3 linked regions of the Struthio camelus genome follow. The protein of the gene in region 2 interacts with the protein of the main gene of each other region in a biochemical or structural test. Links are inferred from orthologs where the notes say so. Each region holds a gene or a part of one and is shown on either strand. Other genes may lie near its edges. The genes, in order: RAB14, RUFY1 and RAB4A.

The links.
Region 1: the proteins of RUFY1 (region 2) and RAB14 form a complex in vitro, tested with the Homo sapiens proteins (2 studies listed by BioGRID). The link is inferred for Struthio camelus from reciprocal best matches to the Homo sapiens genes RUFY1 and RAB14.
Region 3: the proteins of RUFY1 (region 2) and RAB4A form a complex in vitro, tested with the Homo sapiens proteins (2 studies listed by BioGRID). The link is inferred for Struthio camelus from reciprocal best matches to the Homo sapiens genes RUFY1 and RAB4A.

What each region holds. Positions count from the first base shown.
Region 1 is NC_090961.1:2,924,855-2,928,602, reverse strand, and holds the start of RAB14 (ras-related protein Rab-14), read right to left. Parts: upstream 2,791-3,748; 5' UTR 2,373-2,790; intron 2,263-2,372; exon of another isoform or gene 2,086-2,262; intron 1,949-2,085; exon of another isoform or gene 1,885-1,948; intron 166-1,884; exon of another isoform or gene 96-165; intron 12-95; exon of another isoform or gene 1-11.
Region 2 is NC_090954.1:6,838,407-6,842,154, forward strand, and holds the start of RUFY1 (RUN and FYVE domain-containing protein 1), read left to right. Parts: upstream 1-878; 5' UTR 879-898; coding exon 899-1,163; intron 1,164-3,748. UniProt on the Homo sapiens protein: Activating adapter involved in cargo sorting from early/recycling endosomes. Regulates retrieval of proteins from endosomes to the trans-Golgi network through interaction with the dynein-dynactin complex.
Region 3 is NC_090944.1:91,388,320-91,392,067, forward strand, and holds the start of RAB4A (ras-related protein Rab-4A), read left to right. Parts: upstream 1-1,183; 5' UTR 1,184-1,398; coding exon 1,399-1,429; intron 1,430-3,748. UniProt on the Homo sapiens protein: The small GTPases Rab are key regulators of intracellular membrane trafficking, from the formation of transport vesicles to their fusion with membranes.

The sequences.
Region 1 (3,748 bases), on a different chromosome or scaffold from region 2:
CAGTAAAGCACCTGGTAGAGCACAAGAGAGTAAAACTGGCTGAACTGATCATCCTATAGGAAGTAAAGTGACTAGTGACAAGCAGAGATACCAACCAGACAAACTACTTCTGATCTGCTTTTGAAGATCACTCCACATGTTCCCATTATCTCCACATCCAGTTATTCTTCCTTTAAAAAAAAAAAAACCACACACCAAAACCACACACACACAAGGCCTACAGGCTCCCGGGGTTAGACCAAACTTACACCTGTACAGACCCTTATTTCAAGCTGCTCTTGAAGAAGGGCATTTGCTGCATTCCTTAATCATGTAAAACACCGTAACTCAACCTGAGGTCTATTAAGTATTCCTAGAAATTCCACAGCCCTTTACCACCCTTCCTATATGATGATTTTGACCCCTCCCCCTTAAAAACCACACACACATCAAGACTACATATCAAACCATCTTCATCTTTTGATTTTCCTCAGTTATCCAGTCCTACTCCAATTGTATTTGTTATCCTTTTAATGCTTTCACATCCTGCTCTATCAAGCCCCATTTTGTTTCTGAAACTTCTTGTATTTATATACACACACCCACCTCTTATTTCTTACTAACCACACCTAGCACCCCAGCTAAATTAAATATGACATACCTGTACTCAATGAGAGCACTCTCTCCAATGCCTGCTTTTAGCCATAGGAGTTCTTTATCCATCTGCATATCCTCATTTACCCACTTTCCTCTTTATAACAGGAAGTCTAGTTCAACCTGCACCATGTGTCTTGAGGTTGCAGAACTAAGTTTCAGACAGGTAGCAGATAAGCTTAGGAGATAGCAAATATGGAAGCTAGAAGAGTTATGCTGTTAGTCTAATAAATCAATATAGAAATACATGAAACTAGAGTCATCAGCTTGGAAGAAGTATATTTTTGAACAAAATTAAGTAAGGAAAATAGCAAGATGAGAACCATTCACAAGTAGATTCCATTAGAGACACAGGAACAAGCAAGTAGTTTTAAAGTTCTCTTTACGTTTTTAATCCTAGTACCTCTAGTATAACAGGTTTGTTTTCAGATTGCTGTCTTTCACAATAACTTTTTTCTTTGGGTGACTCTCCAAATGGGAAGAGAATGGAGAAGCTTCTTCCTACAACTCAGATCTAGGCCAGGTTCAAATCCTACAGGAAGCTAGCAGCTTCCTTTTTAAGCATATTCAACTATTTGATTTTTAGGTATGAAGTCTTCCAGAGTGGGATTTTCTTGCTCATGCCCGCGTAACACTCGAGCACAACAGGCCCTCGACCCAAACTGAGATAGAAACAGATCCCAGAAGAAATGCATCTCAAATGAAAACATTTAGGTGTTAAAAGAATTAAATTTCTGACTCGTGGGTTGAAATTGTTCAAGTAGTCTTTGTCCTAAATCAATCTTGCTCATAAAAGGGCACTTTTACATCTTCAGAAACGTGCAAAGCACCTTTCTCCTTCAGAGATTCACTCCCTTTTGGAGACCTAGAAAGCACAATCCACATCAAATAATCTCAAGAGCAATACACCCATAGAAGGAAAGAAAGACAGACCCCAACACAGGTGCTTTTTCCTGTGTTTACTGCAAGGATGAAGCCAGTATGTTTTCAGTTCAAGACAAAACCATCCACGGGTGTCACAGAATCCTTAAAAAAGGTACCGCAAATAGACAATAGGCAACGAGGTGGGGAGGGAAAAAAAAAAAGGCAATTTCATTCTTCTGTTTGGACAGAAGAGTCGCTGAGAAAAGAAAAAACAGAACAAGTCTAGAATGCTTTTGCCACTTCCTCAAATAGGAAGTGGCATAGATTTGTTGCCTTTTTTTTTTTTTTTAAATATGAAGGTTATTTTTCTACCCGAGCTCCCGACAGCACGGGTCCGCCCGGAGAACAGCGGGCGCGCAGGCAGCCTAGCAGAGGCGCGCAGCTGCGGCAGGTGAGGCGCGCTCGCACCCCCCGGCCCCAGGTGCGCCATGGCGGCGCGCCCCGCGGGGCGCACAGGAGGGAAGGGGAGGCGGCGGCGACCAACAGCAGCAGCGCCGCGAGGCCTAGCGGCTGCCCAACCCACCTCACCCTCCGCGGCCCCACACGCATCCGCGGCGCCGGGCGACGAGGGAGAGCGGCCGAGGCTGGGCAGCGCCGCGGCCCCGACTAGGCCGGGCCGCGGGCAGCGGCAGCAGGAAGGGCTCCCCCCTCCCCGGCGGGTCGGGAGGCGGACGGCGACCTGCTGCAGCTCCCCCCCGCCGCGGCAGGCCCGCGAGGGCCCGGCCGGGAGCGGAACCGGCCGGCGGGCACCGCCGCGGGGGCCTAGCGCGCTCTAGGCCCGGCCGGGCGGGCGCCTCTCGCCGGCTCCACCTCACCTGGGCTCGGGGAGCGGGTGGCTGTGCAGCTTGGCTCTGTCGGCGGCAGCCCGGTCCCCGCTGTGGGCACGGCGAGCGGCTCCGCTTCGGGCTGGGCTGGGTTGGGTTGGGCAGGGCAGCGGCCGGGCCGAGTCTCCGCCTTTTTCTGGGGCTCCCTCCGGCTTCAGTTCCGCTGGCTCCACTGCGCCCCCATCACCTCCCCCCGCCCCCGCCAACCCTTATCCAAAATGGCGGCGCCCCTCGCACGGGGTTTCCCCTCCCACTCTCGACGGGCGCCGGGGCCGCACAAAGGTGGGCGCGAGAGCCCGCGCCGCAGCCAATCGCGGAGGCCGCGCGCCCCACGGCGCCCGCCTTCCCGGCGGGGCGGGCCACGGCGCCAGGCGCGAGCGCGCGCACCTCTCCCCCCCACCTCCCCCCCGCTCCATCGCCCCGCCCCATCGCCCCGCCCCGCCCCGCTCCGGCGCGCGCCGAAGGGCGGGCGGGAAAGCGGCGGGCGGGGCGGCGGTGGTTGCTCGCGCGCTCGCCTCACGGGCGCTCGCCTCACGGGCGCTCGCCTCACGGGCGCTCGCCTCACGGGCGCTCGCCTCACGGGCGCGGCCCCGCCCCTCTCCTCAGGAGGGCGCCATGGCGCAGCGGAGCCGCCTGCCGTGAGCGTCCTGAGCCGTGAGCCCGCCCAGGTGAGGGCGGGCGGGTCCGGGCGCGGGAGCGCCCAGCGGGTGCCAGCAGCCCAAATTGATGGGGGGGGGGAAGGACACGAGAAAAGCACACATAGGCCAAGAAACACCATAAAAACGAGACCTGAAGGTCTCAAAATTAGACCTGTGGGGAGGGTCTCGCGACAGTCCAACGTCTTGTTGCGCCTAGGTCGAGGGGCAGGTGTGAGCCCGCACGTTCGCTCTACCCAAACCGATGAGAGAACAGGAGGGAACCTCAGTCTGGCAAAGGTGCTGCCACATCCAGGCCTCCCGGAAAGATGATGGTTTACTGGAGTGACCTACGGAGTAACACAAGTGCGATGTGTTGTAAAAGTGCCAATATGGGATGATAAAACATCGATACTATGACTAGAACGTTCAAAAAAAAAAAGGCTCTGGATAGTAATGCAGCTTTACGTTCTAATACAGATTACAAATAACTGAACAAAAATAACATGAGATACTAATGAAAGCATCTTTTGTATGCAGATGTGATAAACATACTGCTTAAATCTACTGTATGTGCAAAAGGTGAGTGAGCAAGTGTTAACACTGAAGAAAATCTCAGCTTTTCCACTTTTCCACTGTGGAAAAGTAAAGTGATACTCCTGGAAGCTGCCCACCAGACAGGAAATCATACTGCCCTTTGGCCCTTGGTGTTCCCACCTGAAAAGTCACTAC
Region 2 (3,748 bases):
TGAAGATTTCCTTTGCTGCAAGACTACTGAAATTGATCTCCAACTCTGCTGTTCCCTCCCCTCTTTTCCTTCCCCCCCCCCCCCTTCTCACAGTCTGGATATTTCTTAGCAAAAATAAAACAAAGCTAACAAAAAATGCCTTCCTCAGTCAGTATAGCAAGAAGAGCTAATATGCAACATTTACTATATCATGATTAAATGAGTGACGTATCTTGGGGATATACAGCTGCTGGATGGAGAAAATGAATGCTAAACCATGCCTCTGCAGGCTACATTGATATTCGAGACACCTAGTAAGGTCAAACTTTCCAGCTAGCATCAATTCAGTTCTCCTTCATGATAAATCTTTTCTACCAAATGCAGCCAAGCTACGTTAATGAAGCAGCCTTTCTGATTACAGCTATTTTGTAATGTCAGGATGTGAGCGAGCACTTTTCACTGCTCCAGACCTGCCATATGTATCCACTATTTTAATCAAGTTCGGATGGCTTGAGTTATAGACAGAGTAGTATCTCTCTAAGTTGTCATAAAATAATGCAAAAAATGTGGGATTTCAAAGGTTACTGCAAAGATTCTAATTGAAAATAATGTTTAGGAACATAGTATGCAATAAATAACTCCAAGGTGTGTTTTTGGTTACCTCCGTAACTTTGTTTAAAAAGTAAACCTTTACTCCTTCCACGCCTCCCTTCCCCAAGCCTTTAACTTCGAACATCGGGAAAACTGCTCACAGTTCTGGAAAGGCTTGTCTTACAGCCTTGCTTAGGCATGCAACAGTTTTAGAGTCGTTCAGCTTGCTCTTACGTACCTGGCTCCCAAGCTGCAGTGAGAAGGCGGGGGAGGGCGGAGGCCCTGCCAACTCGATTGCTCATGACTAGCGTCATATGACACTTCAAAGATGGCCGAAGGGGAGAGCCCATCTGCCGCGGAACAGAAAGAAGACTTTGAAATTATTGACAAAAACCTGATCCCTAATACCCCTGAGCTGAAAAACGAGGGAAAAGAGAAAACTGCGGAAGAAGCAAGATGGTCTGCTCCCATCTTGTCGCTGGCTAAGAAAGCCTCAGAAAACTTAGCGCTGAGCTATGGCAACGCTCTGAAGTCTGCATCTTTGGTAGGATTCATATCCAAACCAGTCAGCAATGACAACACAGCAAAAACAAGTATGGTTATGTTTATTTAGTAAACTTGCTTTTATGGTGCACAAATAAGTTAGTTAGCTCCCGTAAGTGGCATTTATCAGTGTCAGTGAGGCATTATTATTACTCTGAATTTATTTTTAAAAATCTGATGCTGCGCTATTTAATGGAAGCAAAACTACACAAACACCACAGATGTAGAACTGAACAAAGTATATTCTAACTAGAAAAATCGTAAACTCTGAATATATTCGGAAAATTTGACTTTATTTTCTGTACATAAGGCTTTTGATTACTTTTGCCTTCTCCCTTAAAGTTCTCCTTAGCAGCAGCCTGACTGCACTAGTAGGTGATGTGGCTCATTTCTTATCCTTCCTAGGCGGTTCAGAGAAGGAGCTATACTTGTGGTATGATTTTTTGTGACACAAGGTAGACTAAGACAAAGACTTGTCATGAATTACTTCTTTTTCACTATGCTAAAAATGCCCCCTTAAGTTAACTACAGCTTGCTTTATTAAACATCCATATTTGTGGGTATAACAATCCATATGGATTTACGGAACGAGTCTTTTACAGCTGAACTAAAAGGGCTTTAGTTGGATCCTTATGCGAATTGAATCCTTTGGTACCACCTCAGTGATATTCGGGCACTGGAAACAAAACCATTCAAATGTAGTGGTAACTGGTCACATTAGTCTTGTCCTCCAGGCTTTCAGGCTAGCGCTTAGTGATTTTTTTGGACCAACAGAGCTCAGTTATGGTTCTGACCTTCTTGTTTTTCATGATATTTAGTACTCAAGCTGGAGTTCTCTGGGGATGAATTGTGGCTATGTGGTGAAATAAGCTACTCGTGGTGGGTGGGGGGGGATTTTTTTCAATGAAAATTCCTTGATTTTTGTATAGTCAGGAGAGTTTAAAATAATAATCTAGTTTTCCAGGACACAATTTCGCTTTCCCTGCATCTATTACACAGTCTCAGACCACATTTAACAGATTTGTTTTCTGGATGCCCAGCGTGAGAACCTGGAATCTAACCTGAGGAAGGACAAAATATCCCACTGTCTTCAGGTGCATTGGGATCGCTGCTGTGAACACACATAGTACAACAGCACATGCAGCATTTGCTGGGGGTAGAGGAGAGGGCTGTTAAAACATTCTGCCTGAAATGAGAGTCCCCAGGCTTCATGGGACTTTCACCATAATCTTGCAGCTTCCTATCTGTAAAATGAGGGAATGCAACTCCACCTCACCAGATTATGAACGTATTATCCAAATACTTTGAACAACGTTTATAGAAAATTCCATGAGAAAAATCTGCTTATAACTTATTTAAAAAAAAAAAAAAAGTGAACAGGCACTAGATGACCTATTCTGCCCTCCTGTGTAAAAGGCTTCACCGTTACCCTTGACTGAGAACAGTAAATTTGATTTAAAGCAGGTATTAAATAAATAACCTCTAGTTCTGTGGCCTGCAAGAAGATATGTGGAGTGCTAGTAACTTGTTCCTTGTTGCCCTCTTTTCCAGAGATTTTATAATCTCTACCTGCTACTTCAGGTATGTTGATCACTTGAAAAGTCACCACTGCACACTCCACAGCAAACTGGACAGATAAAAGGAAAGGCACACCATAAAACTAGCGTGTACTACTGATGAAACTGTCCCGCTTGGCTGGAAAGATAGGGAGCTACCAATTTAAATACAAATCAAGAAAGACTTGCAGTTTTATAGACCAAGAGGTGGAGAACAGTCAAGGTTTCTTCATACTTCAGTTTTTTTCCTACCTCAAGGCCTGCTGAATAGTGTGCAGTAAACAAGGCACGGGGGCTTCAAAATGATGTTAAAACAAATCTGTTGAATTGGATGAGGTAAGAGACTGTGTGACGGTGTTTTTAATGACCGCATCATAACGTGTGTGATCTTTTGCACTTAAGTAACTCGATTCCTAATCTTCCAGGCCTTGCTTTGGTAGATCGCGCTGTTCTAGTATCTGGCTTTTTTGCATGTACCAACTTGTACATGGTTTTAGAAAAGATGCACTTGACTGTCCAACCTTGCAACTGTTTAAAAAATAGTTCAGATTGTACTAACTAGTACTTAGTACAAATGCTTATGAAGACATGGTTTACATTTAAATTTTTGTTCATAAATAAATTATCATTCACAAAATTCGTTTAAAAAAAGACTTGTGGCTGATATGATACCTAGCCCTTGAGCAAAGCTCACAAGCAAAACATGCCTGACAAGTAAAAATCCAGTCTCAGGAAATCGTCAAAATAACTCGATGAGTTGCCATTGAAGCATCCTAACATCTAAGCAAGGCCACTGATTTCCTATTTCCATAGTCAGCCTTTTTTCTGTTCCTAACGTGTAGCCTGGCAATACTGACATCAACATTTAAAAATATTACAACCCTTCTAATTCTCAGTCTCATCTCGGACATTATAAGCAGTTTTGAGGCATCCACTATACTGACTGTAGATAGTGATATGTTGGAAACAGCCTATGGAGAAGATAGGATTTTATGTGCTTCTTCTTGAGACTGACTTGAATTTGGATGAGAACGACTCCCTGTTTTGACTCTTCTGATATGGAAGACTTTTGTTCACTA
Region 3 (3,748 bases), on a different chromosome or scaffold from region 2:
GCAGTCAGCTCTCCGAAAAACAAAACCCTGTCTGTTAGCTTATACATATCACCACGTACCTCAAAAGGATATACGGCAAAAGGCTTAGCCCTTGACTGAAATGGGGGGAAAGTTTTTTGGGGAAGGATCTTAACGAGTCTAGAACAGATGCTTTAGGACAAAAAGTTGGACAGTGGAATACAGTTTTCAGGAAGGACCATCACAGGCAGGTTCTGTACCTGGGGAAAAGCGTTTGCAGACTTGCTGGCAGGAAAATTAACTGGAATCGGCTGAGATCCCAGCAGCTCAAAAAACACCAGAATTCAGGGACTATGCCCTCTGACAGCCGTCTGACAAGTCGCCAAACAGGAGCACTCAGCTCCCAGGAGGAATGGCCTCAGAGGCTACTATTTTCCAGAAAGAACTGAAGGGAATTTTTTAATCATCAGTTCAACTTCCAGCACAGACATCAGAATGGAATGGGATATCTTTAAATAATGGAGTTTTCTCTGGACAAGGAAAACGTTAAGATTATTCAAGCCTTAGAAATCAACATGACCTCAGCGCATGCAGAACTGAGGCGTCTGTTATCTTGGCAGAGTTGCAGCTAGCCCCACCATCGCCCACACTTTGTGGGTACAGCTGTCTCGTATACCCGGGACTTCCAGGACAGCTACAGCTACTACGCACTGGGCTACCGCACAGCAGAGCGGCGGTGAGGCCGTGTTTCCTAAATGTCTGTGGCCTATCGGGCGCACACCCTGCGACCACGGAGGAAACGGAGCACGTTTCGGGGAACCTGCGACCAGCCTGCCACCCACAAGTTGTACGCCCGACTTGTGTTAGCTCTGGCAGCCCCCAGGGCTTCCTGATGCAGCCCCAGATGGAGTACCAGAACAGCCCTCTGAGACTGGGGAAAACAGAGAGCAGGGCTAGGACGAAGAGCTCCCAGGGAGCAGACAGAGACGAGCCCACACTCGTGCGACATGGCGGCCACCACCGGGGTAGAGCAGCCAGTCACGTGGGCCGCCCTCGCGCCCCGCCCCCCAACGGCTGCGCGGCGCCGCAGCCCCGCACGTGCGCCTTGTTTTGGTGACGGCCGTTGGAAGGGGAACGGCGGGGAGGCGGGGCTGCGGGGCATGAGCCCGGCGCGCCTGCGCAGCGAGGCGGCGCTCTTCCCCCCCCCCCCGCCCCACACCTCGGCCGCCGCCGCGAGGGGCGGAGGCCGAGGCGGCTCGGACGCGCATGCGCGGTGGTGGCCGTTGCTGCCGTTGGCGGCTGGGCTGAAGCGGCGCAGTTGGTGGTGGCGGCGGTGGTTGCTGCTGTTGCGTGGACCTGTCCGTCTCCCCCCCGGCCTGCCCCCTCGGTTCTGAGGGGCCGCAAGCCTCTGCCGGGGAGGGGAGACTCGCAGCTCCCAAAATGTCGCAGACGGCCATGTCCGAGACCTACGGTAGGAGCCGGGGCCCGGGCGGGGCAGGCGCTTGCGCCCCCGGGGAGGGGTCGCTGTGAGCGGGAGACCCCCGGCCCGGCGGTGCGGCTCTTCCCCAGCGGGGGCCGGGGCCGGGCCGGCCCAGCCCAGCGCGCGGGCGCTGGCTAGGGAGCGAGGCTCGCCTCCGCCGAGGCTTTGAGCCGGGGCCGGCTCTGAACCGCGGTGTTTATTCCCGAGCCCTAGCGGGTGAACGAAGTGTCAGTGTGGTAAAGGTTGTAGCAAAGTGTCCCCCGCCTCTGGCGTTGTGCTGTTGACTGTGCCGAGTTAATCACCATCTGGAGTAGGAAGCTATGGCCCTTGCTGAAGAAAGCAGAGAAGAGGTGGTAGATCAGGGACTGATCCAGTGTGGCATGAGTTTTGAAGTTCTAGGCTATGGTAGCTGTTTGGCCTTATGCTTCAGACAGGCTTCTTGCCTTCTGGTTTGTTTGTTTTTCTTTTTTTCCTACTCTTTATTAGCAATGTTCACTACAGCCTATTACTCCTCCCTCTGTTGTCCAGCTCACACTGATGTGATAGTGCCTATTCAAAATTATTTTTCAATGTTGAGAAGTATTGATGACTCAAAAGGTAAGTAAAATACTAGCCAGAAAATTTAGGCACTACTTCTTTGTTATCTTTAAGTTAATTCAGAAGGAAAATTGCAGTGCATGCCCTCTAGGACGAAGCTGCTTTTATTGTAAAATTGGGGACAGTGTTCTTTTGAGGGTCAAATTAGGATTGTAGTCTTATTTTCCTAGATACACAAACATTAAAAAGAAGAAACTGTGAGGGTGAGTAAGTAAAAAAAGAACTAAAAAGTTTGTTCATCTCTGTATTAGCATGGACATCTGACTACTATGTGGTGTTTCCTATGAGCATTATAGCAGAAAAACATCTGAAGGCGTAAGTCGTAAGAGTGCAAGCTCTGGTGGGGTGAGTCAGTGCATTAAAGGCACATCAATGTGTGGAGTCCAATAGGTAGGTAGAGCTGATACTGCTGGCTGGGTGGAGCATATGGGAAGTGACTGGATAATATTCATTTCTCGTGTTTGTAACTTTGAGTTCTTGAATCAACCTCGTATGTTTTTTCTCTTTCCATAACATAGTTCTGTATCCTGTAATGCTTTTATTTACTGTATAAAAATCCTGTCATACCTCTAAATATTATTTTTAGAGTCCCTGTGTTGGATTGCTGGAGGATGAGATTGGAATTGGATATACTGTGATGAGCCCTTTAATTTCTCGTTTTCTGGCTTTGTCTGTTGCAGACTGTTATCCTCAGTAATTGGTTGAGCTTGGGATCTGCACTTGTGTCTCTCTGTCTTTAGAGCAGAATCCTGATAAATAATATATAGTTTGGATAATTATAGTGAAATTAGATGCGGCAAGTCGACTCACTGCTAAAGCTTGTTGATCTGAGGGAGACTGGCATCACTGTCAGTTCTTATTAGTAGGCTAGCTGATCTTATTGTTACTGTTGTATAAGTCTCTGTATATTTTCAGTAGCCTGGTCAGGAGTGCTTAGGGTACTTTGTCCCACTATGATGAGTGTTTCAGTATACGGGAAAAAGCACAGAACTACTGGGGAAAATGAGGCAAAAGTGCGGGGCAGCCCTTTAAGTGCAAATGTTAGGATAGCAAGACCCTGTTTCTTCTTTTGGTGTTTTCTCCAAACAAGCAAAACGCATGCGTAGAAATCAGGCCAAAGAGATGTGCTTTGTTGATTTAGATGTGAGTTTGAGCTAATTCTTCATGCTCTGAGCTGTTGCAGTTAAGGATCGAGATCGCTTTGGCTATGTTTATGGTGGGATTTGTAGTCTTTAAGCAGATGGATGGGTAGACAACCAGCGATGATAGAGATAATTCCAGCAGTATTCCTTCTTAACCTGCTTGCTATTACAGCATCAAGATAAATAATTGCATCTTAAACAAGTACATTTCAGCACTTTTTGCATTGTTCCAGTGAGTCAAAATAGTTTTAAACCCACTAGCATTGCTGATACTCTCTGATTGTTTTGATGTCCTAAAAACACACCCTTGAAATTGAAGAGTTTGGGTTATTGTGGTGTTCTAAAGAGGTGGTGGGGTTTTCGGTATATTTCTCTTTTGAATGTCAGTGATTGTTCTGTTTATATACATCAAGCTACAGGAATTCCGAGCTGGAAAACTGAAGATAATGGCATGATTTAGGATAAATGGAAGAACAAAAAATGTAAGCTATGAGATGACGTAGAATTTAACAATAGCTGTACTATCTGCAACCAAGGCAGTAACCAGTATGCAATTTTACAATGTCCTGTT